4 linked regions of the Notamacropus eugenii genome follow. The protein of the gene in region 3 interacts with the protein of the main gene of each other region in a pairwise test. Links are inferred from orthologs where the notes say so. Each region holds a gene or a part of one and is shown on either strand. Other genes may lie near its edges. The genes, in order: NFIL3, THRA, AMOTL2 and GCC1.

Region 1 (7,895 bases), on a different chromosome or scaffold from region 3:
CAACCCAAGTCCCCTTCATTTCTACCTGGCCTCTTCTACCACCATCCCACCACCTCAGACAATGCTGACAATCTCTCCTAACATCCCTCAAAACTTGGAACTCCTACAGTCTACAGATCCAGTAAAGGTGTGGAGGGGGAAGGCCTACGAAGGGGGTGTGGGTGTGGGGGTGTTGTTTGCCCCAGGGACCCGCTGAAGGTGTTGGGCCAGCAGAAAAATGAAACTGGGGCCTGGCCACTGGCAGTAGCAACCAAGAGGAGGAGCTGCCCATTCTCTTGATCTCTTAGTGAGAGCTCTGAGATATCCCTCAACCTAATCACTGAAGCTTAACTGAGGGTACTGAAGTCTAAATAAATTTCCTAGAAAGAGACTATAATTATTTATAGGTACATACACTTCTCAAAAAGTAATTACAAAAAATATGAAAAATTCATTTTAGTTTTTAAAAAGAATTCTAATTAACACAAAAAGTCTGTCTACACCTAACTTATACCAAATGTGAATGTGTTGGAATATGGAGATGTGTATACATACATAGAAACAGACAAATAGCAAATATAATCAGACCAAGAGCTTGGAGCTGGGGAAGTTGTGCAAGAACAATGTATTTTACACACACACACACAGACACACACACCCTCTACAACATATTATTCTGAATGAAATCAGGAAATGCAACATAAAACAAACTACTGACCTATGTCTACCTCCTACAAATCACATCTGAGGGTGGGAGTGGTAAATCTAATCTGAAGGAAATACTTGTGACTTCATGGCTGCTAATTACAAATGCCCAGAAGAGAAAATGACTCTGGAACCTTCCGGGAGGTTTTCGGCGAGCAGCAGTTTCCCTGTCTTTTCATTTTTTAAAGAATGTAATTTCACCTAAGGGAGATGCCGTCCAAAATTCAGAATCATCAAAATGTCTCAGAAGACCTGGAGTTAAACCTCAGCAAATGGCCTTGAACGTCTATTTGCCAACAGTTCTGGAGAAAACACCAGAAATAGCCCCGTGAAGCCACAATTGCTAAATTGTGATAGTTAGGGCTAAATATAGAAGAACACAATTTCATTTTAGGGTATATGACATATTCGGCAGCATGAACGAACTCACGTCTTACCCAGTTGTCTACTTTTCTATTTATAAACATCCTTCTAAAAAACAGCTACCGTGCCATTTTTCTGAAAGCTTATTGCCCTAGTTTCTTTGTAGCTAGATTATAAAAATCGCGTAATTAGCTCCCTCTTCCTCTGTCCTCTGCCAGCAAATTCTGTGGTTACATAATGCAACATTTCCAGGAACTATTAGGTGATCTGTTTTGCAGCGTCTGAAAAACCAATTACACAAAAGTGAGGGGAAAAGGGAGTTAACAATAAAAGATTTCCGTTAATGGAAGGGACTAATTTAACCGGCACAATTCTTCTTTCCAGATTTGAAAAATAACACCCCAGAGACACATGATAAGCTTCCTTATCATCTGAAACCCAACATTCAACTAGAATATGTGTATATATTTGTAGATCTTAAATGATGTAGTACTGAAAATAGAAAATCGATGCAATTTATAATAAGCTAATTTCCCGACGCTGCACCAAAATTACAAAATCATTACACACACACACACACACACACACACACACACACACACACACACACACACACACACACACACACACACACCCATTCTCACAATCCTTGCCAGCATTCACAGTGGGCGGATTATGCAATGTATGAAAGAACAAACCTCACAAATCTTCCTTCGGCCTTTTAAAACATACTTAGTGTGGAAACTCTAGGTAAGGACTAACCTCCGGCACAGAAACAATTGTTGAACAGGCATTTTTTGAATGCCGTCACCACCCCCCCCTTTTCAAACCTCATTTCTCAACCAAATGGAGTATTTTTAGCATTACTCAACCCCTCACATCTTCTCCCATTCCCCCCACCCCCTAAACTCGCTCCATCCCTAGAGAAGAGGGAGTGGGGGCGTGAGTCAGAAAGCCTTCTGCTGCATGCTCGGAAATGGACTGACCTCAGAAGGGCTGCCTTACTGCTTTTCTCTGTCAAAACACCAATTTTCCTTAAATACAGTCATATTATGCAACTGCAGGGTAGAGAAAGGGAGCAAAGTCTACGTGCTGGGGAAAGGGGGTGGCAATCAATACAGTCACCTTAAGGTGGAGATTCCGACATGGACATATCAGCAAAAGTTTGGATAATTAATAAATACACACGTCTAGAGAGGTCATCTAAACACACTATTTTCTACATACACACTCTGGAGGTGACAGCAACTTTTCGAAATTACACATGAGTGGGTGGGGTAAGGTAAGGCAGCGAGTGGAGACAGAGGGAGATTCAGAGAGACACAAAGACAGAAAATGAAAACAAAGCCTAGAAATATTAGTACACAACATGTGTAATTACCTTTTTCATTTTCATCTTGGCCCGGAGAATGTGGTGGGAGGGGCAGAACACGCAACAAAAACGAGAAGAGGTCTCCCCGGAAAGTCGCAAGTGAACCCGAGAACACAAGCCCCGACTCCTAGCCTCCGCTCTACCAGAGGGCAGAGGCTGGGCAGGGCTGAGGGAGGCTTGGGCACTGCTGTGAGTGCCGGAGTGGGGGTCTGCCGGGGGGGCCAGGGGCAGCATCAAAGGATCGGAAGAGAAGGGGATCGCCTGGGGCTCCGCTGCCCGCTCCGGGGCAGGCCCGCAGGCTGGTAGCGCGACACGGAGGGGAGAGCCAGGGGCAGCACTTCCTGGGGTCGGAGAGAGGGGCGCGGGCGGGGGGTGGGGGGTAGGGGGTGGCGGTAGAGGAGGAGTGATGGGAGGGGTCTACCAGCCTGCTACCGCGGGGAACCACCAGCGCGCCGCCGCCGCCGCTGCCGCCGCCGCCGCCAGAGATCTGTGTTAGTAGGTCAACATCGTGCTCCTCGCAACGTACCCTTGTGCCAGCCTCGGTGGTGACTGGCGTCCACCGCGCCCCAATCACAGCGCCCAGAGCCAGCCCCACCACCAATGGGTACTACTCGTCGGGGCGGAGGAACTGAGGGGGAGGCCCGCAACTTGAATTGCTTACGTCCCTCCCTCTTTTCCAACGACACCACTACCAATGCTTCCCTTCCCTCCCTTATCCCTGTTACATCTGCTCCTCCCTCCTGCCTCCCTCCCTTCCTCCCTCAGCTCAACCATTTGTGGTACTATATGTGCTAAGGGTATTGCATAACGAGCAGGGGGAGAGGAGAAAAGGAGGGGAGGAGGGAGGGGCTCTGACATTTACGTGGAGCGGGCCAGCGGGTTGGAGTTAAGGTGGACTCAGCCCTTTCGTTCTCCCTTTTCTTTTCTCACTTCTCCTCTGTTTCTTTCTTTTCATTCTTCTGACCCTGCTTTTTTTTTTTTTTTAAACTGTGAAAGACAGCCTAGCTACCTGTTGCAGGCGGATCCCCGGGGCCGGGTCGGAGAGGCAGCTTTGCTGAAATGTGGACCCCAGAAGCTGGGAGCCTGGTGGGGGAGAAGGAAAATCCGAAGCCAAGCTACATGATTCACAGTTTACACCCACCCCCAGCTCCTGGGGAGCAGAAAGTGTTGTTGGTTAAATAAGCACATACTCAGGCTCCATGACCTCATAGATAAGAAATTGATAGGGGCGGGCAGCGTGGTGAGAAAGGACATATTTGAAATGGGGGTGGATTGTCCCGTTGGTTTGCTAGAGGCCCAGCTAGCAAGGGAACAGGGATGGGGGAAGCTGGAGTAGAGGGTTTCCTAAAGGAAGACTTTTTACAAAAGGCTGGAAATGGGGATGGGGTGGGGGAGGGAAGAAGAGTGATCCAAAGGCTTGATTCCGAATAAGGCTTTGTTATGTAGATCACTGATTAAAATAAACAAACCAAAAAATTCAGATTTCTATTAAGTCGACCACTGCTACAAGTGAAAATAGAGAAGAATGTAAAAATACACCACTTCCCTCCGAAACTAAGGATACTGAAACTTAAAAATGATTGTAAAACAAATTTGAAAAACTAGTTTTGCTGATTTATATCTACCCAGCTACCGCATATGGGCAGTCCTCCACTGAATTATACATAATCTTTGGCTAGCATGAAAGTCTGCTGAAGACATACATGTTGATTCATTATTGGGTGTGTTCTCTGCTCTTATGCCAGTTGGCATTTTCTGCTGTGGGCTACAAAGCATATACTGTACTCTTGACACTGCAGTTAATGTCTTCCTTTAATGATCTTCATAGATAAGGGCAATAAAGATTCTTCTGCTAACTTGACACCTTCCCTCCCTCCCTTCCATGTATAGGAAATAACATATAAATGAAAGAACTATTTTAAGAGTTATTCACAAACTGTATTTATGCGCTGATTTTTTCAGGAAATGAAAACTCCAGCAATTACGTATCCAATAGAGTCTGACTTTCTTTAGACTATTATATATTACTCATTTTTGCTCATTATCCTGGTAGTCACTTGTAGATCATAAAATACAATAAAAGTTTTACTAATAATAAATTAAAAGACTACAATTTCTAATACATAAAGGGATATGAAGCACTACTCCCCTCTACCTCCTTAGTCAAGCAAAGGCAAAGGCAGTAGGACCTCTGATAAAAAGTGACACCAACTCACCCTGTGCTTAGTTAGGCTTTTTATGCCTCAGACAAAAGGGAAATCAAATGGTCTCCAACTTACAACTCCCTTGGAGCACCAAACAAGCCTATACAAAATAGGTGTCAGTCCTACTATATCCCATCCCTTGGCAGCAAGGACCCTACATTTTTCTATAGGATCTTCCATCACTAAAATAATCATGTCAGGTTCGTAGCACAAACAGCGATACTTCTGATGCGCTACACACAACTGTATAAAGCGGAACCATGAGCAAAATTCCTCCATCAATCAAAAGACTCACAAAATGGTATCTTTAACAACTATATACTCATTCAAATCCTTGGGTACCTTCCAAGAGTAAGTATAAATAAAAATCTTTTGGTTGCAACTAGTTGAGACTAGAGTATTCCACTTCTAACAAATATCATAATGTGCTCATGAAGGCAGTAATACCTGAGGGACCCAGATAAACATAATATTAGTTACAATTTCCTTTAAAGAATGGAAACCTCCTGTGTTCCATCTATTTTGTTATAACAATTTTGAAATAGATAACTCACATGGGCAACTCACAATGAAGGGTCAACATAATATCATTTGTTCAGTAACAAATAGAACCCAATAGAAGGCAATTTTTTTTAAGGGCAAGTGGTTGTTTCTGGCAGATTATTCCTCCAGAAGCCTAACATTTGTTTAGTATCAGCCAAATGCTACATTCAGTTTTGTCCTTATGAACTGAAACATCAAAGAACATAGGTTTCACAGGATCAAAATGAACCAGGGAGAGACTGCTGGACAGCCCCCTTTAGAGCTTCCAAAGCTATAACCTCTTCTTTTCTCCACTTTAAAGAAGTATACTTTGAAATGACTCAGTAACACAGAGACCACAACACAATAATACGAAAAGAGGGAATAAAAGTTCTTCAGAAAGGTTAAGCATTTAGGCTTCACATTTAGTCTATATGGAAGCAAATGGGACTAGCTTATTATAAGCTATCTCCAGAATCATCAGAGTTCTTCTCATTTAAAGTATTCCCCCCAAATTTAAGTAGGTTGACTGGACCCTAAATTTTGTTAGGGATTGATCTTCCACTCCTTGTCTTTCACATAATCCATCATCTATCTAATCTAGGACTTCTGCCACAAAATTGCCACTTGCTTCACCAAGCCCAATCAACATATACAAGCTCTTTTACAAGTGTCTGCTCTCCAAACTATGGAAATATGAAGGAGAATTATAAGGGGAGTTTTTATGGTGAAGTAAGTACTCCAGCTTCTTTCAACTTCGCTAAGTAAGGACAGGGAATGGACCTATGAATTTAGTGGCATAGGCAATTTCCAGATGAGGAAACTCATCTCCATTACTAAAGAGAAAGTGTATTTTGCTCCCAACCCAACCCAGTATTTTAAAATATTAACTAGACAGGATGGTTCAGGCAACAAGGGCTTCTAGTTACTCCTATCCAAAATAACCACTATAACCATACCTATATATTAATAATGACTCTGAATACCACTTCTAGGTCTGTATCCCAAAGAGATCATTCAAATGGGAAAAGGACCCACATGTAAGAATATTTATAGCAGCTCTTTTTGTGGTGGCAAAGAATTGGAAATTGAGAGGATGCCCATCAGTTGGGGAATGGCTGAACAAGTTGTGGTATATGAATGTAATGGAATACTATTGTGTTATAAGAAATGATGAGCAGGTCAACTTCAGAAAAATCTGGGAAGACTTACATGAATTGATGCTGAGTGAAATGAGCAGAACCAGGAGAACATTGTATACAACGTATGATGACTAACTTTGAAAGACTTATCTGTTCTTAGCAATGCAAGGATCTAAGACAACCCTGGAAGAGAAAGAACTATGGAATCTGAATGCAGATTGAAGCATAGTATTTGCTTTCTCTCTTCTCTCTCTCTCTCTCTCTTTTCTTCTTTCTCATGGTTTCTCCCATTGGTTCTAATTGTTCTGTACAACATGACTAATGTAAAAATAGATTTAATATGAATATACATGTTGAGCCTATATCAATTTACATGCCATCTTGGGGGGAGAGGAGAGATAGGAAGAAAATTTGGAACTCAAAATCTCATGGAAGTGAATGTTGAAAACTAAAAATAAATAAATTAAATTTTAAAAATGACTGAAAAACTCATGATGTGTATGCCTATAATCCATCTGAAACTTAAATAGGCAAGATCCACCTTTACATTGGTGGTCTTCCCACCAACTCTTAACCAGGTTTTAGTTAAGAACACTAGGTTTAGTGAGAATAGGTACTTGAGATAAGCAATTCCACTTGGGCATATGACCTCTGGTTGCATGTAGTCCTACTGTTAGAACAATTAGAGACTCAGGGGGAAGTTTAATACTCATTTTAATGGAGTTTATTCCAATAGTCCCTCAAATCTGAATACAAAGATTGAAGTGGCTCCGAACAAGCATATAGGATGGGGTAATGACCAGATTGTATGCACTACCAATAATTTAGGACAGAGACCATCAGGGATTTTATAAATTTTATTGAGGTACAAAGGTCCTTGCAGGAGTTCTAGGATATCTTCATGGTCCCAGATATTTAAAAATAGTATTTGATTTTCAATTTAAAAACCCCATAGGCTGACCATCAATTGTCTTCTTACCTACCCTATGTTTCAAAAGTCACACCCAATACTCCTTACAGGAAAGAGCATTATTACCTTCTCCCAACCTAATATCATAGAGAACAAAGCAGTTTGCCTCCCTTCCATCCTCCTCAGAATACCAATTTTCAGAGGCTGACCAGTACTCTATTCAGACTTCACCAATTGATCTGCCCAGGACTAGATGGTAGTCTGGATGGGGAAGGAATATGCTCAAATCTCATGATATGCATGTAGGACTCCACCTAAAAAACAGGCTATCAGTATACCCCAATCAGATGGGTCATAAAGAGTGGGCAGTCATGGTGGGAGACAATAATTCAAGTCCACTAAATATGTCTCTTGTAAAAATTTCATCTTTTTCCTTGCTATTTTTCAACAGGTAATCTGCTATTAAGGTGTTCATCTTTCTGGGATCAGAAATATAGAACTCTCTATTTCATCCACCTACAAATGGAATTGTTTCAACTGATTTTGTAAGATATCATCTGCAAGCTCTCCCAGTCTATTGAATTCTGACAAATACTCTGAATTATCCCCTTTAGACCAGATTTTCATTAACGGTTGTTCTAATGATTCATTGACTTACTTAAATTTATACTATAATCCCCTAAATTTTTTTGGTTGGC
Region 2 (7,198 bases), on a different chromosome or scaffold from region 3:
ACCCTTTCCCTGGAGTGCTAATTCCCATAGACGTTAGGATGGGGTGGGGTATAGGAGACACCAATACTCTTACCTACTAAGCTTTAGAATTGAATAGGGAGCCCTGGAAAGCCAAAAAGACAGGAATCCTCATTGACATTAGGAAACCCCAATAGTTCCTAGAGCTCCCCTTATTTAGGTCCTGTATCTAGGCTTAGCTTAGCCAGGTAGAGAGGCCTGGTTGAACAGAAGCACCCTTCCCCACCCCCATTCCCCAAACCCTGGTGGCCACAGCTGTGCTTTTCTCTTGGTAAGGAAATCCAGGATGTCCTGAGAAGCCAGCAGAGCCCCTTCCACCCCCCACCCCCACCCCAACCTCCTGCTGACCCCTGGGGAGGCAGCAGGGAAAAGCTCACTATTAGCAACCAGAGAAATATGAAGGATGTCCTAGCTAGTCCCTAGCTCTAGGACAGAAGATTATAATGCTGAGACATGCAAAGACTGGGAGACACTCAAAAGAAAGTGACAGGAGAAAAGAAATATAGAGCTTAAAAGAGAAAGAGACCAGACAGAGAGATAAACAGATAAAAGGACAAAAACACACATAAAAACACAGCAATTTGAACAGAAGGACAGAAGGTAACATCTAAACGGATAGTAAAAAAACATCTAGTTGAGGTTATGGGGAGGCTTTGGGGTAAGCAGGAAAGATTCAGGCAAATGAGTTCCCCAAGACACTTTTAGGGTGGGGAAGTGGGAGGCAGAGAGTTAAGTCTGATTCCCCTAAAGACAACCTTGCTGCCCCCAGTTGTCAAGGCAGCTTAGGCAGGGTTATTGTCTGGGGCTATTGTCTCAGTCCTCAGAAACCCCTTACCTCCCCTCTCTCACGAAAATTTCTCTTCCTAATCTCCTTTAAAATTGTCCATGCCCTTAGAGGAGGGAGACACAGGAAAAAGCATGAGACAGAGAAAGAATGTGTGCATTTGTGTCTGTGAATGCCTGCATGTGTGACACAGTAAATCTGCTACTCTTATCATTCAATCAACAAATACTTACAGAGCAGCTATTATACAGGAAACATTGGGATAAATGCTGTTGGGTATAAATGGGTACAAAATAATACTATCCTTGCCCTAAAGGGATTTACAATCTAAATACAGAGTTGTTCTTAACCTTTTTCAGTGTCATGGAACCCTTTGTCAACCTGGTGATGCTTATCCACCCTTCTCAGAATGTTGTTTTTAAATGTATAAGATTATAAAAAGAAACTATCTATATTGAAATAAGCTTCTAAAAAAAACAAAACAAAAAAAATATGGCCCATAGGTTAAGAATCCTTGGAGTAAGAGAGTATGTATATTACTATATATGTGCATTTGTCTGACATAGCTTTTATTCTTGGGGGCAATCTTCTCTCCTCAGTTACAATGTAAACTCCTTGAGGAGAGGGCCTGTCTTTTGCCTCTTTTTGTATCCTTTTCGATTAGCAGAGTGCCTGGCACCTGGGAAGCAATTAATAAATATTTATAGATTGATTAAACTCCTTGAAGGCAAGAATGTATCTATTCTTGGTATCTCTCTCAATGAAAAGCAAGGCAGTGGTGCCTGGACACTAGGTCCTCCATAAATACAGTATCTGTTTGTCGGTTGTGACTGCACCTGGGACTATGTATAGCGATGTCTGTGTATAGGAGTCTGTATGTGGGTATGTGCCCGTGTCTGTCTGCCTGTCCTTGGGTCCCCCTGTGGGTGTGTCCATCTCAGCGTGTGCACTTGCTCACGAGTGTTCGGTCTTCCTGGCCCAGTGTGGGTGTGTCTATCACCCTCCTGTCCTTGACGCCCCGCGTCCCCGTGTCAGCGCCTATCCCGGTGTGTCTGGCTTTCACCGCCTCCCCCTACCCTTCACCTCCCGGACAAGCCCCCCTTCCTCCTCCCGTCAGCCAGCTTCTGCCAGGTCAGGGCTCCCGGAGTACTACCAACCGCGCCTCGCTCCTCCTCCCTCACCCTCCCTTCAAACTCTGACCCCGCCACCCCTTAGGCCTTTTCCCCATCCAGAAGAGGGGGAAACCCCATCTGCCAGGGGCTCGAGGGACACGTTGCAAGCCCCTCAGCTCCCTCCCTGTTGGTCTCGCACTTCCCCAAGTGGCCTGGAGCATGCAACTCTCCGGGCGCTTCCCGGGGACCCCGGAGTTCTCCTACCAACTCCTCTTTTTTCTTCCCCCAGCCGCGTTTTTGCATTTGGGAGTGTTGCAACTGGAGGGCCATGCAGCCCCATGTGAAGGGGCTGGGGCGGTCCTCGAGCCCCGGGGAGGCTGCAACCCCCCCCCCCCCCCACTCCCGCCGGAGGAAGCTTTGCAAAAGCAGCTCGGCCCCGGCAGTCGGGAGGGCGGAGGGTGGGGGGAGAAACAGGCCGCCCGAACCGTAAACAAACCGCGGCGGCGGCGGCGGCTGGCGGGGGAACAGGGGCCGCCTGGCAGCCGGGGCCGCGGCTCCGACAATGCGTAGCAGACGGGACCGGGAGAGGCCGGGGACCCGCGGGGCGGCGGAGGCGGGGTGTGGGGGGCGAGGCCCGGACGCCATCTGCCCCTGCAGCACCACCGCCCCCCTCCTGGCCACCAACCCGCTGCAACCGTCCCGTCCCCCTCCCCCGCCAGCCGAGTCCTCCATTTACTCCGGGGAGTTGGTAAGTTGCAAGCACCCCAGCACTGACAGTGTCACCCAGGGGCTGGCTGTGCAGGCAGCGGGTCCCCAGGGACGCCCCCAGCCGGGACTAGGACCCCAGCCAGCGAGCGTCCGGTGGCTTTGCATAATCAATCGCAATGTATTTGCATATTAATACCCCCTCCCCCTCCCCCTTACCTCGGCGTGGCGGGCTGGGCTGTGCGTGGGGAGGGGTGGCGGGTGGCTCAGCGCCGGGGCCCGGGGGTGGCCATGGGGGACCGGTGGGGCCGGGGCCGCCCGCCTCCTGTCCCCGGGTGTGAGTGCGAGTGAGAGAGGGGGAGGGGGGCAAGTGTGGCGGCCCCGCGGCTCCTCCGGCAGAGGCGGCGGCCGTGCTAGCTCCTCCCTCCCCCGCCCCGCTCCGCTCGGGCTCGGGCTCGGGCTCGGGCTCGGGCTCCAGGCTCCGCGCCGCCCGGGCCTGGCTCACTGCTGCTCCCTGCAGGCCGAGCCTAGCAGCCCGGCGGCCTCCCCTCCCAGCCCGGGCCATCCCGGCCAGGTCGGCTGTGCCGAGCCCGGCCCGGCCCCGCCCCTATCTCCTCTCACCTTCTTCATCTTACTCGGACCGAGTGCGCTATGCCCTCAGTCCATTCACGCCTGGCGGGTCCCCCCTCGCCCCATCCTATCCCACGCCGGCTCACTCACAAGTGCCCATCCCTGCCGGATCGCTCCCTCGGGAATCGCTCGCTTCTCGCTAATTTGCTCTCTGACGCTCGCTCCCACCCGACGCTTCTCCCGGTCCCACTCTGAGCCCTCCTTCTTTCGCTAGGCTCCCTCCTGGAGGCCACTTCTTGTCCCCAGCCATGTTTCTGAAGACCCTCCGCAGCCCAGGAGGGAGGATGCCGTCGGTTAGTCAGTCCACAAGCATTGGCTCAGGGAGTACTATGAAGCCAGGCACTGTGCTCGGCTCTGGTGATGTAGAGAAAAGTAAAAACACGGCCCCTTTGGTCAAAAGGAAGAGACCTGGAAAGGACTATGTACCTGCAGGATACATGCAGAGGTCTCTCCCGTCCTGCTCTTATATCTCATCGTGATGCTGGGAGAATTTTGATTTTTTTTTTTCAACGGGGTGGAGAACCGAACTGGAATCCAGAACCTAGAACCCAGAATCCTTTGTGTATATGCAAATTGTAGGAGTCATCCAAAAAGAGACCTCTCCAATGTGTCAGGTCCCCCACCCCCACCCCACCCCACACACCTTCCTATGCATACACATACAGCTGTATTCATGGACATTAAACCAACCCAGAGACGCCAAAGCCCTTTTCATCTTGGGATCTTCCAGGTTGGGCAAAGCTCTAATTACCCCAGCCCCCCACTCTGGCCCTGCCGGTTCCCCTGCTGTCATTAGCCCAGTTTTACCAGCGGAGGCCATTGCCTTCCCACGGGCTCCCCAGGGTGGGGCCCCTCTTCCCCTGCTCCCTTCTCATGAGGAGGTGGGGATGAAGTTTGGTCGATCACATTTGGAAAATTTGTCTGACTAACAACAGCCTGAGTTGATTAGATTGTCCAAACCTCTCCTTTTTAGAGGTAATTCTCTCATGGTAGGTCGTCCCTGGGGGCTTGTCTTCCAAGAAGGTTTGCCCTTCAGATCTCTCATGGGATCAAGAGGAGGAAGAGGAGACACTCTTTGGAATGCAGTGATCATAACATCACAGTTTCAGAGCTGGAAATGGTCTCTGAGATCATCTAGACCAACCCTTTGTAGAAACTACTCTGGACTTACATCTTCATTTTACTGATGAGGAAAGTGAGGTCAAGAGAGTTCAAGTGACTTGCCCAAGATCACACAGAGAGTCAGGATCTTAAACTGAGGTCATCTGATGACAAATCTATAGCTTTTTCTTATTCTTCTTATTCAACCCGCTGCCTCTCATAGTGAGGATGGGAGAGATTTCACCATCTTAGCTTAATAGTGAATATGGATTTTCCTATCCCTCCATCTTCCCTTGTACTGTGAGGTGTGTTTGTCCTCCATTGCCGCAGAAGACCATGCCATCAGAGAAATAATGACCTGACTTGCACTTGACTTTGTTTTGAGTGAGGGAGGGCTGTGCAGGTCACTAGCCTTACTTCTCCTCCAGAACTATCTGAATCCAGTGACCAGATATTCATCAGGATCACTAGAGATGACCCAGGATGAGGCAATTGGGGTTAAGTGACTTGCTCAAGGTCACACAGCTAATGAGTGTCAAGTGTGTGAGGTGAGATTAGAACTCAGCTCCTCCTGACTCCTGCACTGGTGCTTTATCCACTGCACCACCTAGCTGCCCCTGTACTCTGAGGTGGTGGAAAGGAAGAGAAGGGAGAAGGGAATAGGAGACTATAGTATATTAAGGATAGGAGAGACAGGAAAAGGAACCTGAGAAAGGGTGGTCTAAGGAACAGCCTGTTCTCTGGCTATTGTTGACAAAAGCTGTATCCAAACACCTCCTCTTTCCCTCTTTCTGTTATTATGGTGTACCCCCACAATTTCTCCCTCTCCTATTCCCCTATCAATAGGGATTCTAGATAGTTATCTCCCTAAGAAGACCTCTGCCTAAGAGCCAACACCTCATACAACTCCATGCCCCTGTAATCATTTCATATCCTAGTGACAGGTGGGGGATACTGGCCATCAACTAGCCAGTTGTGGAAATAAGCTCTCTGTCTCCCCCACCCCCAGCACTCCCCTAGCCTAAAGAGAGTTGGTACCAGCAGATGAAATGTGAAGGAAACTCTCCAAGCTGTCTTGGCATTACCTCACTGCTTGACAGACCTCTGAGCACTGGGGAGGAGGAAAAGGAGAGCAGGGGAAACTGAGGTACAGATGGTTGATGAAATCAGGAATATAGGTATTTTTCTTATCAGGAATATTTATTTTTCAGAAAGGAGATTGGTTATTGGGATCCTAGGAAAAGGAAAGAAGAGAAGTGTATGGTGGAGGTAGGGATGGGCTGTTGGGGGCAAGGGGAGGGAGGAAATAGATTTGGTAGACTTGGAGGAATAAGGGACTGGGAAAGGCAGACAGTTGGGAAATTATCCAGCAATTACCCTGATAAGTACTAAGGAGGCCACTTAAGTCCCCCACAATAATTACTCATGTTTTCTCCCCAATCTCTGATTTCCCTTTACCCCACTTGGGCACTCAAAAGACAGGAAAGGGAATTTGGGGGAGGACTATGGGAAAAGACTTAATAAGAAAGCTCAACACAGGACAGGCGAAAGAATGACCTTATATATAAAACAAGAGGGAGGTTGAAGAGGTTTGACCTCTGCCCTCCACCAAACCAGATTTTTCTGGGTTATCTCCAAGTGAGACAAACATGGATCCCAAATTCTCTCTCGGATTCCAACCTTCGGTATGAACTCTCTCCTCTTCTCATAAATGTCTGCCAAATTTCATTTACACCAAACTCATTACAATCCCCCTGCACACTTATTAACTATTAATTATTCCCACCTTTAACCTCTAGATTAAAGGTCATACCTTAAGTCTAGAAGAAGGGTGATGATGATGACACACTTTGTCTAGGAGAGGGTTGGTCCTTTGCAATCAGAATATGGGGCAAGGAGATGGAAAAAGGGATAATATGGCAGAGGGAACAATTATCAAGACCTGGGTACATGTGGCTCCTTTCTGTGTCTAGGTGCCAAGGTCATGTGGCTGATTTTTCTCTTCCTGATAAAGGGAACATGTTGGGTGAGTGAGGATAGGAGATTATCTCAGGAATTCTGGTGACTGAGACAAGGTGAAGCTGCTCTAAGGTCTGGGTTCAATTTTTCCTTTTCAGCACCTTGGATAGTTTCTATCTTTCACTTCTTTTTTCTCCTGGCTGGTGGGAGGAATTGGCCATACCCATTTCTTTTGGGGAGTTATAGAGATGGGACAGGCACAAATGAAGAGAAACAAAGAAAGTGAAAATCCCCTCCCAGGGGTGAATGAAGGGAATTCTTGGCTTCCCTTAGAAATTGATCCTTGTAAAGAAGCACAGAGCTATGGACATCCTCCTCTCTGAATATAGAGAAAGGAAGATATAGGCTAGGAGTTAGGGGTGGGAATGGAAGGCAGTCACTTCTGAGGTGAGCTAGACCTAGTGTTAGCTATTTGTGTGTGTGTCTTTGTGTGTGTGTGGGGGGCACTTTGCTGAACTTCTCTTTCCCACATCTGTTGCCAGTTGACTCCCCTCAGTTGGCACCTGGGCATATTTTCAGGAAGCAGTGCTATAATAGTGGCATCTAGCCTAGAGCCTTGGTCTCCCTTTGAAAGAAAATAGGTGGATATCTCTTAGGTGCCCTACTCCAAGAAGTTCTTTGACATTCCTGTGCCATGTAACAAACAGAATTTCTATCACTGTCTTCCTGACACCCTTTCCTAGTTGGGCGGTGAAACTTCCTCAACCAATATTCCCTGACTCCTCATTGACCTTTCCCAGACTCCTTTCCAAATTCTCTGCAGCTGCACCAGATGTTGCCATGTCATTTTTTCTTCATGGGCTTTTCCCTGGTATGGGTAGAAATTGGC
Region 3 (7,495 bases):
TACTATAGAAAATGCCCCATTATCATTCCCTGGTGAAGGTGAACCAATTCTAATCATGAAAGGTCATAATTCACATCTATGTGACATGGGGAGGTCTGTCTAGGTATTAGTTACCCCAAAAAAAGAACTGGTACAAGCTAAGCTGATATATTTGAACCAATGTCATAGGATGACCTTGGGGATCATTCTGAGACAGTGAATATTAGAAATAAGGAAGGAGGAAATGACTATGGAGTGCCAGATAATGAAAGAGGAAAGGACTGGATATGAATTATGGTATTGTGAACAGAGGCTTTATTTAACAAGCCACTGGGAACAAGAAAGTCCTGCCAACAAGCACTAGTTAAATCACATGGTCCCTGTAAGCAGCAAACTATCCCCCTTTTACCTGGCCCAGCTTACAGTATCTTAATATATCAGACAAATACAAGATGACAAAGAGGTAATTTCCCTAGATATTTTTTATACGTTATTTGGACAGAGTCTAACTGGCTCTCCTCCTCAGTCTGTTGATAGTAATTCATAATAGTTGTAGTCATAATTAACAGTAATAGCACATTCCCTACAGAGGCAGTACTATGGGTAAGGAAATGCCATGGTTTCAAAAAGGCACAGAACTGAGTCTAGCAGGGGCTCAATGATCGATTAAGGTGTTCTAGGGACGAAGAGTTTTCCAATATCTGGACTCTAGGAAGCTAGCGACTCCTAAGGCAGCTGCATCATCACAATATTCCCTAACTCTATAACCATCAAAACCCAAATCCATTTGTACATTAAACTCATTTTTAAAAGAGAACTCTATGATAATGACTCTGAATAGTAGCCATTATTTCCCAAGTCATAATGAAGTGACCATCTGAGAGAGGTGGGTGAATTTGTGGATGTTTCTGACTCTCTAAGCCAATGAGATATCTAGAAATCACCAGTTTAGTGTGATAGTGATAATAATATAATAATATGAGTAGCTAGCATTTATAGAGAGCCTGAAGGCTTGCAAAGCACTTTCTCATCTTCACAGAAATCCTGGGAGGTTAGGTGTTATTATTATCCCCATTTACAGATGAGGATACTGAGGTAGACAGATGTTGAGTGCCTAGCTCAGGGTCACACTGCTAGTAAATTAGTAAATGTATGAATGAGGCAGGATTTGAGTTCAGGTTTTCCTGACTCCAACCTCTATCCACTGTGTTACCTAGCTGCTCCAGAGTGAGAAACTACCATCCTCCCTCCCTTCCCTCTCATTTCATGCTAAACCCCACAACCCAACTATGACACTGGAAGGATCTTTGGCTAAGTTAGAAATTGCATAAGTAGTATAACTTTCCACCCAGTCTTTTCATCATACCAGCCTACCACTCCTAGGGCAGGATTGAAGAGATTCTGAAATCCACAATTTACGAGAACCAACAAAAATCCTTAGGAGTCAAACCACTTTTATGTTTCACAATTACCAGAGCATTTTCTACAGTAATCACAGTCTAATAAATAGCGTGCTCACTAATGAAGACTGTCAGTGGAGAATAATTAGGACAATCCAGAATCTACCTTAGACACACCATCACTTGAGCTCTCAAAAGGTGTACCATGCAAGTTGTCCTATCTTGTGAACAAGCTAATAATGTTTTTGTAATGTTGGACCTGATAAAAAAAACCCATTAATCTCAAATATCAAATAACTAAACCATAAGGTCATTATAAACTACAAGTCCTTCTTTTAGGTTAAGGAGGGCCCTGGAGCTATAAACCATTACAAAAATAATAATCTCCCCTTAAAGTACTTATTTTCTGGCTTTTTGTAACACTCAGTGTTCCACTAAATAAGGCGGGGTGGGGGTGGGAGAGGGAGAAAAAACGGCCGGAAAATTCTCTCCAAAATACTGAGATTCCTACGTGCCTAAATTAAACCACACTTTCTACCAACTTCTGCAACAGAGTTCCAAAACTGTAACTGGATCCCCCCCATACAAATAACTTCTGAGTCAAAAACGCTCCGAACTCCTTAGTTTTAGAACCAATTTGAACACCAATTCACCTCAAAAGTGTACGACCGATTGCCATCTGAAAAGTATTTATATTTCCTTGGCTGCTCTGGTCCCTCTTTGTTTTCCAAATATTTCTGCCCTGACATCATCAGGGTTTGGACTGCAATTAACATTCTTTCTAAGTGAGGGCCAGGCTTATGGCTCCGGAAAGCATTTTTCCAAACAAGACAAAGAGGATTTCTTTAACTAGTTGGGGGGCAAAAGCACCTGTAACTCAAGACTAACCAAATAATCCTTGGATTGCTCCCCCCCTTTCTTTAATCATTTCCAGGCCTTTCCCTCCCCTCCCTAGCGCCTCCCGTTTCCAAATACCAGAAGACTTGGAAATCCATAGGTTTCAAGGGCATCGCAAGAGCCAGGGTCAAGAGCTAAGGTATCCTTCCTCTGCCCCCCAAGTATCCCTCAGGCTGGAATGATCAAGCTTGCGGGAAGATTTCCCCAATCTAAATCGCAGAAAAGCCGCCAAGAGTCGTGCAAAGGGGAAACCCAGTGTAGTCGAAGCACCGGGATCGCGGACGAATGAGGAGCTCTCTCGGCTCCCAATCATCCGCTCCCGCCTCCCCTAGGTTCTCTCTGCATGGCCCCGAGAGCTCGCTCCCTGTCTCCCGGCTGTGCGCTACGAGACACTGGCAAATAGAACGCGTCAATTTCCCTGGTGAAACTTACCAACCCATAGCCTGAAAGCCTCAGTCCTAGAGTCTCAGACCCAGCCAACAGAAGTTGCCGGGGAGCTAGCCGTACAGAGCTCTTTCGGAGGGAGAAAATGCAGAATGCGTGCGTGTCTTGGCTTATCTGCGGCCCCTTCCTACCCCTACTGCCGAAATGCCAAAACAAAATTTTAATAATAATAGTTAAAAAAAAGAATTGGAAAAATCAGAGCAGCGCAAGGAAAAGTCCGCACGCAGCTCTGAGCTCCCGGGCACGGAGATCCTGCCTCTGTGACTGCTGGAAGCGAGACTGCGCTCCTCCAGCTGTACCGCGAGCCACAGAGGTTGGACTGTGCAAGAGGCGGCAAGCTATGCCAGGAATGTGAGAGTTTCAGGTTCCCCCTTGGGATCAAAGCTAACCACAAATAACCTCTTGCGCTCGCCCCATCCAGCGGCAGCAGTGAGAGGCTGCGCACTGCAGGGGCTACTAACTGGGCTCCCCCGCCCCCTTCACCACATGGCTCCATAACCCAAGGAGCGATTCTTCCCCCAATTTTTCTTCTTCTTTTCTTCTGAGTTCTTCTTTCTACTTGGCTCAGGCTTCTAACTGGCATTAACTCATTCATTCCCAAATGAATATTTGTGCCAGTGGAGTCTCCAATGGATATTTTTGTTGGACTCTAACATCTAGGTAGTATTTAAAATTTTAATTTCCAATGAGTGCAGACCGTCTAAATAAGGAATTCTTAACTTGGGGTCCGTGAACTTTTTTTTTCAATTTTGATAACTATATTTCAACATAATAGGTTTCTTTTGTGTCCCGTATAATCCTATGTCTTTTATGCATTTAAAACTTTTATTCTGACAAAGGGTCGTTAGGGCTGCACTAGACTGCCATAGGGGTCCATGACAAAATAAAGAAGGTTAAGAACTTCAACTCTAAGGAAAGTTATCTGTTTTTTTTTAAAGTTTGGGTTCAAGCTGCAGATCTTTTCTATGGGTAAAGTCTGCAAAAACTCTACACATGCTATTTGATTCTCAAACCCCTTTCAGATAGATGTTAATATTATTCTCACTTTACAGATGAAGAAACTGAGGCAAAGAGTTAAGTGACTTGCCCAAGGTCACATAGCTATTAATAAATTGTCTAAGGCAGAAGTTAAACTTAATCTTGGTGACTCCAAATCCAGAGTTCTATCTCTTACGCCCCAGCAAAAGAATTTAATCCATTTCCAAATGCTCTAGGCCCTCACAGAATAAAATGAAATTGGGGAATATTCAACAAAACAAATAAAGATATGATTGAACATAGTAAATGTTAACACCAGGTTTCTTATATACAGTTTAGTGACCCCAGTTTCTGAGTTTGACCCAATCATGTTTTGGTTATTGCTACAGGGGCAGGTACAAACAGGAAATTGGGCAGCTATTTGGATAATTTTCTTTAGGTTGTTTTTGTTTTTGTTTTTTTACCTTAAAGAGAGGCAGCAAAACAAACCCAAATCTAAAGCCTTTTCTCTCAAATAGACCAATGATATTCATTTGTCACCTAATTGCTGCATTTCCCTACCTGCAGTTTACAGAGCTTCTGCCAGTGCAGGACTTCCCATGAGATATTTAATGGCCAAGAAGCCATTTACTAAGCCCAGTGTGTGTGTGTGTGTGTGTGTGTGTGTGTGTGTGTGTGTGTGTGTGTGTGTGTGTGTGTGTGTGTGTCTGTGTGTGTGTCTGTGTGTGTGTGTCTGTGTGTGTGTGTCTGTGTGTGTCTGTGTGTCTGTGTGTCTGTGTCTGTGTCTGTATGTCTGTGTGTGTGTCTGTGTCTGTGTGTCTGTGTCTGTGTGTGTGTGTCTGTGTGTGTGTGTATTTTTCTTGGAAAATAAATGCTACAGTACCACTCCTATGTCCATAACCTAAAGAGATCATTAAAAAGGAAAAAGGACCCACATACACAAAACATTTTGAGCAGCCCTTTTTGTGGCAGAGTTGGAAACAGAAGGAATGTCCATCAATTAGGAAATGGCTGAACAAGTTGTAGTACATGAAAGTAAAGGAATACTATTGAGCTATAAGAAATGATGAGCAGGTGAATTTCAGAAACACTTGGAAAGATTTATATGAACGTATGCTGAGTGAAATGAGCAGAACCAGGAGAGCATTGTATATAGTAAAAACAACATTGTGCTAGCTTTGATAGACTTAGGTCTTTTCAGCAATACAACGATCTAAGACAATTCTGAAAGATTCATGATAGAAAATGCTATCCACATCCAAGGAAAGAAGTGATGGAGTCTGAATGCAGGTAGAAACATTCTATTTTCCTTTTATTTTTTTGTAGTTTTTCCCTTTTGTTCTGTTTTTTCTAATACAACATGGCTAATAAGGAAACATGTTTTACATGATTGCACATATATAACATATCAAATTGCTTACTGTCTTAAGGAGGAAAGAGAGAAAATTTGGAACTCAAAATTTTATTAAAAATAAGAATGTTAAAAACATCTTTACATGTAATTGGAAAAAATAAAATACTATTTAAAAGAAAAAAAAGAAAGTGGATGCTACAATTCCAGGAGGGAGGATGGTCTGGTGGAATTGGAATCTGGCCGTGTGGGGATGAGTTCAGGGTCTGATGCTTTGGAGCAGCCAGGGCCATGCAAGATGAGTCCCTGCTTCTGTGAGCCTCTATCTTTTCATCTCCAAAAAAAAGAAAGAGGGGGAAGAACCAAATAATCTCTAAGATCATTTTATCTCTCACATTCTGTGAAAAGTAAACAGGGTAAAGTTATTTTTTTTTTAAAGGAAAGAATAATCTTTGAATTTTGAGCCCCTGAGTTGATTTCCTGCCTTTGGTGCAGGCCCACATACAGGTGCTCATTACGTGGGTGTCCATAGGTGTCACCTTATATTCCTGGGCCTCAGTTTTCTCATTTATATAATAAGGCACCCCTTACTCCCAGACTAGAAGTCAAGGTCCCATCCAACTCTAGATCTGTGTTTTTACATAAAACTGAATTTTGTTCAAAATGAAGCTTATCTAGAAGAAGGCACATTAGTCAAACTCCAAGGTCTCAACAAGGGGAGCAGGGCACAAAAGAAAGGACACTTTAATTTTTTTTTTTTTTTGGTGCTATTTCATACTACTTGTCTCAGGGGTGGGGAAGCTACAGCCTCAAGGACACATGTGGCCCTCTAGATCCTCAAGTGCAGCCCTTTGACCGAATCCAAACTTCACAGAACAAATTCCTTTAATAAAATAATTTGTTCTGTAGAACTTGGACTCAGTCAAAAGGCTATACCCAAGGACCTAGAAGGCCACATGTAACCTCGAGGCTATAGATTCCCCACCCTTGTCTTAGATGCACCTATTTATAATGGTAAAAAACTCATTCCCATACTCTGTAGGCCTTTAATTTGTGAAGAGTCAAATGTGATATTTATAGGAAAGCCCCTGGTGGAGAATAATACAAAAAGGAACCCCCAATGTCCAAACCTTGCCCTAGAGCATACAGATACCTAGTCAGCCCAGCTTTGGGGGTGGGGAGATTGGGGGTGGGGAGGGAGGAATGAGATTTGAGAGAACCTGGCAGAAATTTTCTTCCTCTCTTGTGGTTACCACTTGAACATATTGCTTCCTGAGTTATCCTTACTGGATAAAAAAAATGTTAATGACCAGAAAAAATTTAAAAATCAACAGACTCAAGAGAAAAGGGTCCTTGGATTCCTTGTCCCTACAGCCCTTAAGTGTAGGTGTGTTTCTCAGCCTCTTCTTCCTCAGCTAAACCGGGCATTTGGTCTTCCCTCCTGTGACATTCTGCTAAATAGTAAAACCACGTACTTATTTTCACCTGTGCCTGTGTACGCCTGTACACGTTCAGCATTTCTCTTCTCTGCTGTGCTGTAGACTGACATGGTTACCTAGCAAGCAAAAATAAATAAATAAATCGCAGGCTGATGGCAGCAAATCATCTTCTAGCTTGAGGATGATTAGTGGGCCTGGCAGGGAGAGAATCCAGAGACCACCATTTTGAAATCTTTAGCTCTCTTTTTCAGGGTCTCCAGGAGTCTTGGTTATCAGGAGAAACAAAACTGGTGGTCTTTGTGCTGTCTTCTGCAGCTCCCAAATTGGACAGCCAGATTCCAGTATAAGAAACATAAAAGGAGGCATTTACCATCCAGGCTGTACTCTCCTAGCTTTGTGGTACCCTAAAACAAAACTAAAGACTGGGAGGTACTGGAGAAGTAATCCCTGGAGAAACGTAATGATAAAATAGGTCAGTAGACTGAAAGGTTGATCAGAAAAAAAGATTATGCTAAAGTCAACTGGTTGTTGATTCACAAGTTAATATTAACTGAAGATAGAGGGAGAGACAGAAATAGAGAGAGAGAGAAAGAGAGAGAGAGATGAGAGAACTAGAGAGATAGAAGGTAGATGTAGGTAGGTAGGTAGGTAGGTAGATAGATAGATAGATAGATGGATGGATGGATGGATGGATGGATGGATGGATGGATGCTGTGTGTGTGGTTTATAGCTGACTATGTGGTCTGCCCTGTGCCCATGTGCTGCAAGGCAAGTTAACTATGTGTATGTTTTTGGCAACTGTCTAGACACTAGCTTTGCTTGGAAATGGTGAGTTGCAGCCCATGCATCTGTGTGAGCTAGAGTGATTCATTTTTTTGAGGAAAAGGAAGACATGGCCTATAGTATTGTCATTCAGAAGTGTTTGAGGAAACACCCAAAAAAAGTCCATAAAATATGAAAGACTGTCATCTAAAGTGTCCATCTAGACTTAAGTTAAGCAGATATGT
Region 4 (7,302 bases), on a different chromosome or scaffold from region 3:
TGGACTCAACTGTCTTTCATTCAAAAAATGAAACAAAACAATATATATTAAAACCTAATTCCCTTTTCAGCATCTACTATATGCAAGGCACTAAGAGGGAAAATATATATACATATATATTATCTACTCTCAAAACACTTATTAATGTACAAGGATAGGTATACCAATATTGCGTGGGGAAGAATTTCATGAGGACCACTTAGAGATAGGATATAAGCAAAAACTACAGAAACATGAAAGGAAAAAGTGCTTCTGACTGGAGAAAGCAGAGAAAGCTTCACAGAAATGGAAGTGGTATTTGGGTGGGACCTTCATTGAAGGATGAACAGAATTTCAACAGGTGGAGGGAGGAGACTGGAGTGGGGAGAAGGGTGAAAAGAGGAATATTCTAGGTAGATGGAGCCATGAATAGAAGCATAAAGCGAGGAAAGCTTGTTTAAGAAACACAGACTAGGTCAAGGTGGCTAGACTCAAAAAGGGAATAATTGAAGAAATTGCTAGAAAGTAGAATAAAAGTTCCTTGAGGGCAAAGTGTTATTTTTATCTCTAGCATTTAATACAGAGTCTGGTACGTAGTAGGTGCTTAACAGATACCAGATATAGGAATGAGTTTTATTTTGTAGGTAACGGGGAACCATGGGAAACTGTATGTGTCTATTTAGCTATTTGTGCTCTCTGGCCCACCTGAGTGTTTTGGAAGTAGTGTCTCCAGAGAGGCCGAATCTTGTCCTGGCCTCCCACATCCCAGACGGTGAAACAAATGTTCTTATATTCCACGGTCTCCACGTTGAAGCCTGTGAGGAAAGGGAAAAGGGGGGGAAGCCTGGGGGGGAGGAGGGGCACTGTAATGTGGGCAGGTACATTCAACTCTACAAAAGCGACGGGAGATCAGCTTGGTCAGGAGAACTTCTGGGAGTCCCCCAGAAGAACATCATGCAGACTTAAAAGAATTAACCGAACTGGGCCCAGGGCTGCTGCTTCCACATCCTGGCACCATCAGCCAAAGACACCATGACCTACTTTCTTGGAGCAACTGTATCTAGTGTCAGGGTCAGGCCCCAGAGAGGAAATACAGGGGACGCTCACAGACTACCAGCCCTCCCCTCCGTCCCAGGAGCTCACCTATGGTGGGGATGGTAGTGACAATCTCGCCCAGCTTCAGTTTGTAGAGGATCGTGGTCTTGCCTGCGGCATCCAAGCCGACTGCAATAGAGAGGCAGGGTAATGGATACGGTACCCGAGAAGCTCCGACTGAGACGAGGAGGGAGAGGGCTCGGGAACGGGAAAAATGAGATCGGAAAGTCTCAACGTGCATCTCCCGCTCCGGGGAGCTACGTTAGGGGGGAGTCCGAGGGAAACCTGGGCATCACGAGCCATTTCTCTTCCCCTCCATAGAAAAACCCGCACGCCCAGGGCCAAACAAAAAACCCCACCCAAAGTGGGCCTGCGGATTCAAGGGAGGGCAGGACTCAAGGAAGGAGGTGGGGGCCCCACAGGGACGGGGGCTGCCTCTCCAGAGAGGCATTCCAGTCGTGTCCAAGGGCCTCGCGTGGGGGCGGGCGGCCGGCCTGTGGGTTAACCCCGCCCAGGCCGGCAGGTTCCCGGCCTGGGCGCCCGCAGGCTCCGGCTGCTGCTGCAAAGCGGAGGAGGCTGCAGGCTGGGCCAGCTGGGCTGCAGGCCGTACCTGTCTTACCAACCCCGCCCCCCGCTCCCGAGGGCCGGGGGTCTTTTATCCCTTCTCCTCCCTCACCCGCCACCCCGTGCCTCAGTTTCCCTCATCTCCTCTCTCGACCACCCCCACCCTCACCCCCGGCTCGGAAGGGGAGGCCGAGGCTGGGCGCGCAGGGCCGGGTGGGGAGGCTGCGGGGGCGGCAGAGGGATGCGGGGGCGGCGAGGCTGCGGGGGAGGCGGAGGGCGTTACTCCGTGGGCAGGGAGGGATGCGGGGCCGTGACGCTGCCCGGGACCTCACCCATGAGGATCCGCATCTGCTTCTTCCCGAAGATCCGCGAGAAGAGCGCGGACACCGTGAGGCCCATGGCTGGGCCAGGGAGGGAGGAGCGGGGAGCGGGGAGCCGGGAGCCGGAGCCGGAGCCGGCAGGTTGCTGGGGGGATGGAGAGCAGCAGCAGCAGCAGGAACCGGAGCCGCCTCCGCGCTTACAGGACCCGCGTGACGTCACCGAAGAGCCCCGCCCCCACCCAGGCCACGCCCCCATCCCGCACACCTTAAAGAGCTTAGAGCCCAACCTTCTCTTTTTGCAGAGGAGGAAGCTAAGGCTGGGAGGGAAGTAATTTGCTCGCAGTCACCTGGATGTAGGAGAGATGGGGTTCGAACCCTGCTCTTCTGACTCTAAATCACTTCTTTACGCCAGGAAAAACTGAAACAGAAAGAAGGCTCAGGAAGAACGCGTACCTCCCCCCCAGCATTCTGGAATAGTCTACCTTGTGTGTTTGTGGCAAGTTGAAGAAAGAAATTAGGGTCTCTTTCCAGAATATTGCCTCAGAGCCCATCATCCCTCCCACCATCAGGATCATTTGTAACAGATGCAGCTTCTCTTCCCCATGCCTGCCAGGGCACCCCAAGATGCGGTGTTTTTTACTCTTTAACCTCTTTCCATTCTTTCCCAGAGCCTCTGCAAGGTAAGGAGGGAATCTACGGAACCTGCCCATATTTCCAGGTATCACAACTGACTTACAATAAACACCAATGGTAATAAAACATTAATATTATGTGCTTTAAATCACCTTAACCTCTTGCTTCTACTATAAAGTAAGGAACGCATCTATGGACTTCTGCCCTGAGTTTCAGGTATCACAACTGACCTACAATAAACACCAATGATAATAAACAGAATAAGTATTAAGTGCTTTAAAATGTTCCAGGCACTGTGCAGAGTGCGGGGGTTATGAATACAAGCAAGACAGTTCCTGCTTTCAAGGAGCTGGGTTTTTTCAAGGGCATTAATTCTAAGGAACCCCAATGTGGTTTACTTACAATTCCCTGTACCTCAAGTAAATAAGAGGCAGGGTAAAGTAAGAATTTCTCTCTTTAGAGCAGAAATTTCCTCTTGTACTTTGTATCTCTCTGACAACCTCTAGCCCAGGTCTTGTCACATAGTAACTTAATGCTTGAATTAAATTGACTGGTAGGATACAGCAAAAGTAAAATAAGTTTTAGATCATAAATCTAGGGGAAGAAATCATATTCAAGTTCAGATGCAGTCCCCAGATTTGCTGCTTTTCTTCTCTGTAGTTATATAAATACACCTCTAAAACAGGGCTTTTTTTTGGAGGCAATGGAATTAAGTGACTGGCCCAGGGTCATTCAGCTAGTAAATGTTTGAGGCTGAATTTGAACTCAGGTCTTCCTGACTCCAGGAACTGTGCTCCAAACACTGTGCTGCCTAGCTGCCTCAACAATAGGTCTTTTGAGTTGGAAAGGTCATAAGTGATTATCCACTACTCTCTTTTGACAAATTAGGAAACTTTAATGAACAAGAGAAATAGTGATTTGTCCAAGGTTGCACAGGTAGAAAGATATTAGGGGAGAGATTTAAACTCAGGCCTTACTCACAAATTCAGGATTCACTTCCACTACACCACGAAATGCTAGACATCTGTATCAATAAACACTTGCTGAATTGAATGCAGAGATCTGCAGATGGCCAATTTGCAAATTTAGAGCAAACATCTCTCAGGAGGCACCTGACCATAATGGCTGCAGCTTTCTGGATCTTCTAGACTGGTGAATAGAATAATATGTATTCGTATAGTACTTAAAGCAAATTGCTTATTTGATCCTCACAACAGCCCTGTAAGGTAGGTGCTTTCATTCCCATTTTACAGATGAGAACACAGGCAGACAGGTTAAGTGACTTGCCCAGGGTCCTGTAACAAGAGGTATGGAGAACAGCCCCTCAATACTCCCGTCCCCAGCTTCCCATGGGGGGCGGGGTTCTCCTTCAAGCACTACAGACATTTTAACAAATATCATTTATACGGTGCTTTAAGGGGTCCAGGAGTCAAAAAGAGGTGAAGAACTGGTGGTCCTAGATCTGGCAGGGGGTCGCCTCCATTCCCTGCGCCGCAGTCGTGCATACAGGTCTCTCTATGCATTTTCCCCTCCACTGCATCAGATACCCTGACCAGCTCAGACCCCAGGAAGCAGCGCCCAGCCTCGCCTAAGAGCAACCGCAGCAGCTCGACTGGCGCTCGAGGCCCCTCCCCTTGGCGCTCAAAGGCCCCGCCCCTCTCCTTATGCCCCACCCCTTCGCTCTACGTCCCACCTCTCCTCCCCGAGCGCACGCCTATCCCGAATGCCCACCTGCACTTCCGGCGGAGCCGGAAGCGTTGTTGACAACTGACTTGAAGTGGTTACCGAGTTAGGATCGGAGCCGGAACCGGTCTGTCCCGCTTCGGGGGCGAAGGGAGCGAGGGGCGCCGCGGCGTCTGCTGGCTTCGTCATTTGCCCCGCTAGCCCTCTGGGGCCGGAGCCAGGAAAGCGCCTGACATGGCGGCCTTGGCAGCTGCACCCCCTCGGCGGGAGCGCGCGTAAGGTCGGACCCCTCCCCGCACTGTCCCCCCCACCCCAGACTCCGTGAGCGGTGACGTCAGGGAGCTGCCCCTGCCATGGAGAAGTTTGGCATGAACTTCGGCGGGGGCCCTAGCAAGAAGGACCTGCTGGAGACCATAGAGACGCAGAAGAAACAGCTGCTGCAGTACCAGGCCCGCCTCAAGGACGTGGTCCGGGCTTATAAGAGCCTGCTGAAGGAGAAGGAGGCCCTGGAGGCCAGCCTCAAGGTGCTCTCGGCGTCCCACGAGGCTGACGATGCCTGCCAGGCCCCAGGCCTTCCCCTGGCCGAGGCTGTGGATGACCGGTGCTCCACTCACAGTGAGGACAGCACTGGTACTGCCACCAGCCTGGACACAACGGCCAGTCTGACCAGCACCAAGGGTGATCTCGGGGTGGAAGATGAGAGACTGCCCGCTGGTCCAGCACCTCCGAAGTCTGAGGAAGCCAGTGGGTCGGAGAGTGGCGTTAGTTCCAGTAGTGGGGATGTGCCAGCCAGTGTTGGCGGGGAGATCGACAAACGTTTGCACCAACTGAAGACCCAGTTGACCACCCTGACCAGCTCTTTGGCCACAGTGACACAAGAGAAGTCCCGCATGGAAGCCTCGTACCAGGCTGATAAAAAGAAAATGAAACAAGATTTGGAGGATGCCGGTAGGAAGGCTGAGGAAGAAAGGAGCCGACTGGAGGGGGAGCTCAGGGGGCTGCAGGAGCAGATGGCAGAGACTAAAGCCAGGTTGATCACACAGCAGCATGACAGAGCCCAGGAGCAGAGTGATCATGCTTTGATGCTGAGGGAGCTGCAGAAACTGCTACAAGGAGAGAGAACCTTACGGCAGGATATTGAACTGCAGCTAGAGGAGACCCGGGAAGCCCTGGCTGGACAGGCCTATTCAGCTGACCAGGTGGAAGGGTTCGAGTTACAGATCAAACAGTTGACCCACGAAGTGGAGGAACTGAAGCAGGAACTGCAGGCTCTTCGAGAGGAGAAGACTCATCCAGACCCACGGCTGGAAGAGCTTCAGGAAGAAGCTGCCCACCTTAAGAGTCATTTCCAGTCCCAGTTGCAGCAGGAAATGAGGAAGGTAATTCACCTTATCTGATTCAAATCTATAGGTGCTTAATGCGTGACTAAAAATATTAGACTTTTTCTTCTTTTCAAACCCTATACTGTAGTTGAAAGAAGTGCTAAATTTGTAATAAGAGTTCAAATCCTTACTATGCCACTTACAGCTATGTACCCATAGACAAGTTGCTTTATCTTATAGAACTTGGTATTCTCTTCTACAAAATGAGGGATTTGGACCAAATTTACCTACGAGGTCTCTTCATGCTTTCAATTCCTTTATTTTCATGGTCCTTACCCAAAATTTCTCATGGACAAATTTACTGGAAAATCTTGGTCTAATTGATGTTTACAAAAATTACAGAACATACGTCTAAGGGGATGTGGTATTTGTGGGTGCTGTCTGGAATTAAGTTGGAGTGCTTCCAGATTCTAGGCATTGGCTTCTTAACAGCTGTGTTAAGGAAAACAGTGAAGTACTGTATTCTATTTGTGTGGTTGATATTTTTTTCAGAAGGAGGCAGTTTCCTTCAGTTGTTCTCAATCAGGATTTGTTTTGGAGATGAATGTGCTATCCCAGAATACTGTTTTGGATTTTATGAGAATACCGCTTTTCAATTCTGGACTTGCTAGGCAGGGGTAGCATACAGGAGCGTGCAGTTCCTGAGGATAAACAGCAGATTAAGGGTGATAGACATAATATGCTAGACGTGTGACAAAAATGTAGAAACTGAAAGCAGAATAGAACTGTTCATGAACACTCAATAAACATGTATCTGTCATGTGCTAAGGCACTGTGCCAGGCAATGAGATTACACAGGGGAAAAAAAAACATTCCAGGCCTCAAGGAACTTAGACTCTACTGGGTAGCAGGTGTCAGGAAGAAACAATACATGTACACAGATAAGTATAATACAGGATAGTGTTTGAGAAGAGCAAAGGAGAAATCTAGATAAAGTGTCACAGGAAAATTTAAAACGGGAGAGAAAATTTCTAACTGGATGGATCAGGGATTCATGGAGAAGGATTCATTTTTAGCTTCTTGAGCTGAAGACAATGCTTCTCAGGGAATAAGTGTAATGCATTTGTTTTGACTTGATCTAGTAATAGTATTAATGCTCATGTGATTTTTGTCAAGTCACAGAAAATGACCTTAATATTATTTGGTGAGATAAATTCTGAGTCTTCAAGGGGTGAGGGCAGGGTTGCAGAATGGGAGTGGATAATAGTTTAAGTTTTGTTGGTGCTTGAATCAATGAAAAAGTTCTCTAAAGTTCTTCCCATTCCTACCAGCACATCCTATTTAAGTGCCCTCTCTCTTCTCTGCCTTTCCTAGATTCAGTGACAAGCTCTGCACTCTCTCTTAATTCATCTTTTTTGTTTCCTTGGTTTTTAGACTGCTTTGGCAGAGGAGCAGCTCCGTCAGTATTCTCAGATGGAGGAACAGAGGGTGGCTGCCCTAGAGAACCAAGTCTCAGAAGTGTCTGAACTTCTGGGCACCTATGAGAAGGCTAAACAAAAGGATCAGCTGGCAATTCAGAAGCTCAAGGATCGCCTTCTGCAGCTGGATATGGAGAATAAGACACTTGCTCTTGCAGCCTCCAGCCGTTCTCCCCTGGACAGTCACAATGAGGAGACCAGCCTGGATGTCAATGTTCTAAAGGATAA

What was found.
Region 1: the proteins of AMOTL2 (region 3) and NFIL3 interact in binary tests that used the Homo sapiens proteins (3 or more experiments, as listed by UniProt). The two-hybrid records come from large-scale screens. The link is inferred for Notamacropus eugenii from reciprocal best matches to the Homo sapiens genes AMOTL2 and NFIL3.
Region 2: the proteins of AMOTL2 (region 3) and THRA interact in binary tests that used the Homo sapiens proteins (3 or more experiments, as listed by UniProt). The two-hybrid records come from large-scale screens. The link is inferred for Notamacropus eugenii from reciprocal best matches to the Homo sapiens genes AMOTL2 and THRA.
Region 4: the proteins of AMOTL2 (region 3) and GCC1 interact in a two-hybrid assay, tested with the Homo sapiens proteins (2 studies listed by BioGRID and IntAct). The two-hybrid records come from large-scale screens. The link is inferred for Notamacropus eugenii from reciprocal best matches to the Homo sapiens genes AMOTL2 and GCC1.

Annotation. Positions count from the first base shown.
Region 1 is NC_092872.1:108,332,960-108,340,854, forward strand, and holds the start of NFIL3 (nuclear factor interleukin-3-regulated protein), read right to left. Parts: upstream 3,066-7,895; 5' UTR 2,429-3,065; intron 2,404-2,428; exon of another isoform or gene 2,034-2,403; intron 1-2,033.
Region 2 is NC_092873.1:355,632,262-355,639,459, reverse strand, and holds the start of THRA (thyroid hormone receptor alpha), read right to left. Parts: upstream 3,064-7,198; 5' UTR 2,839-3,063; intron 2,663-2,838; exon of another isoform or gene 2,549-2,662; intron 1-2,548.
Region 3 is NC_092876.1:334,135,177-334,142,671, reverse strand, and holds the start of AMOTL2 (angiomotin-like protein 2), read right to left. Parts: upstream 3,093-7,495; 5' UTR 2,709-3,092; intron 1-2,708. UniProt on the Homo sapiens protein: Regulates the translocation of phosphorylated SRC to peripheral cell-matrix adhesion sites. Required for proper architecture of actin filaments.
Region 4 is NC_092874.1:122,542,695-122,549,996, forward strand, and holds the start of GCC1 (GRIP and coiled-coil domain-containing protein 1), read left to right. Parts: upstream 1-4,294; 5' UTR 4,295-4,627; coding exon 4,628-5,653; intron 5,654-7,030; coding exon 7,031-7,302. Other genes in the region: ARF5 (ADP-ribosylation factor 5), read right to left, coding at 685-794, 1,123-1,203, 1,971-2,214. UniProt on the Homo sapiens protein: Probably involved in maintaining Golgi structure.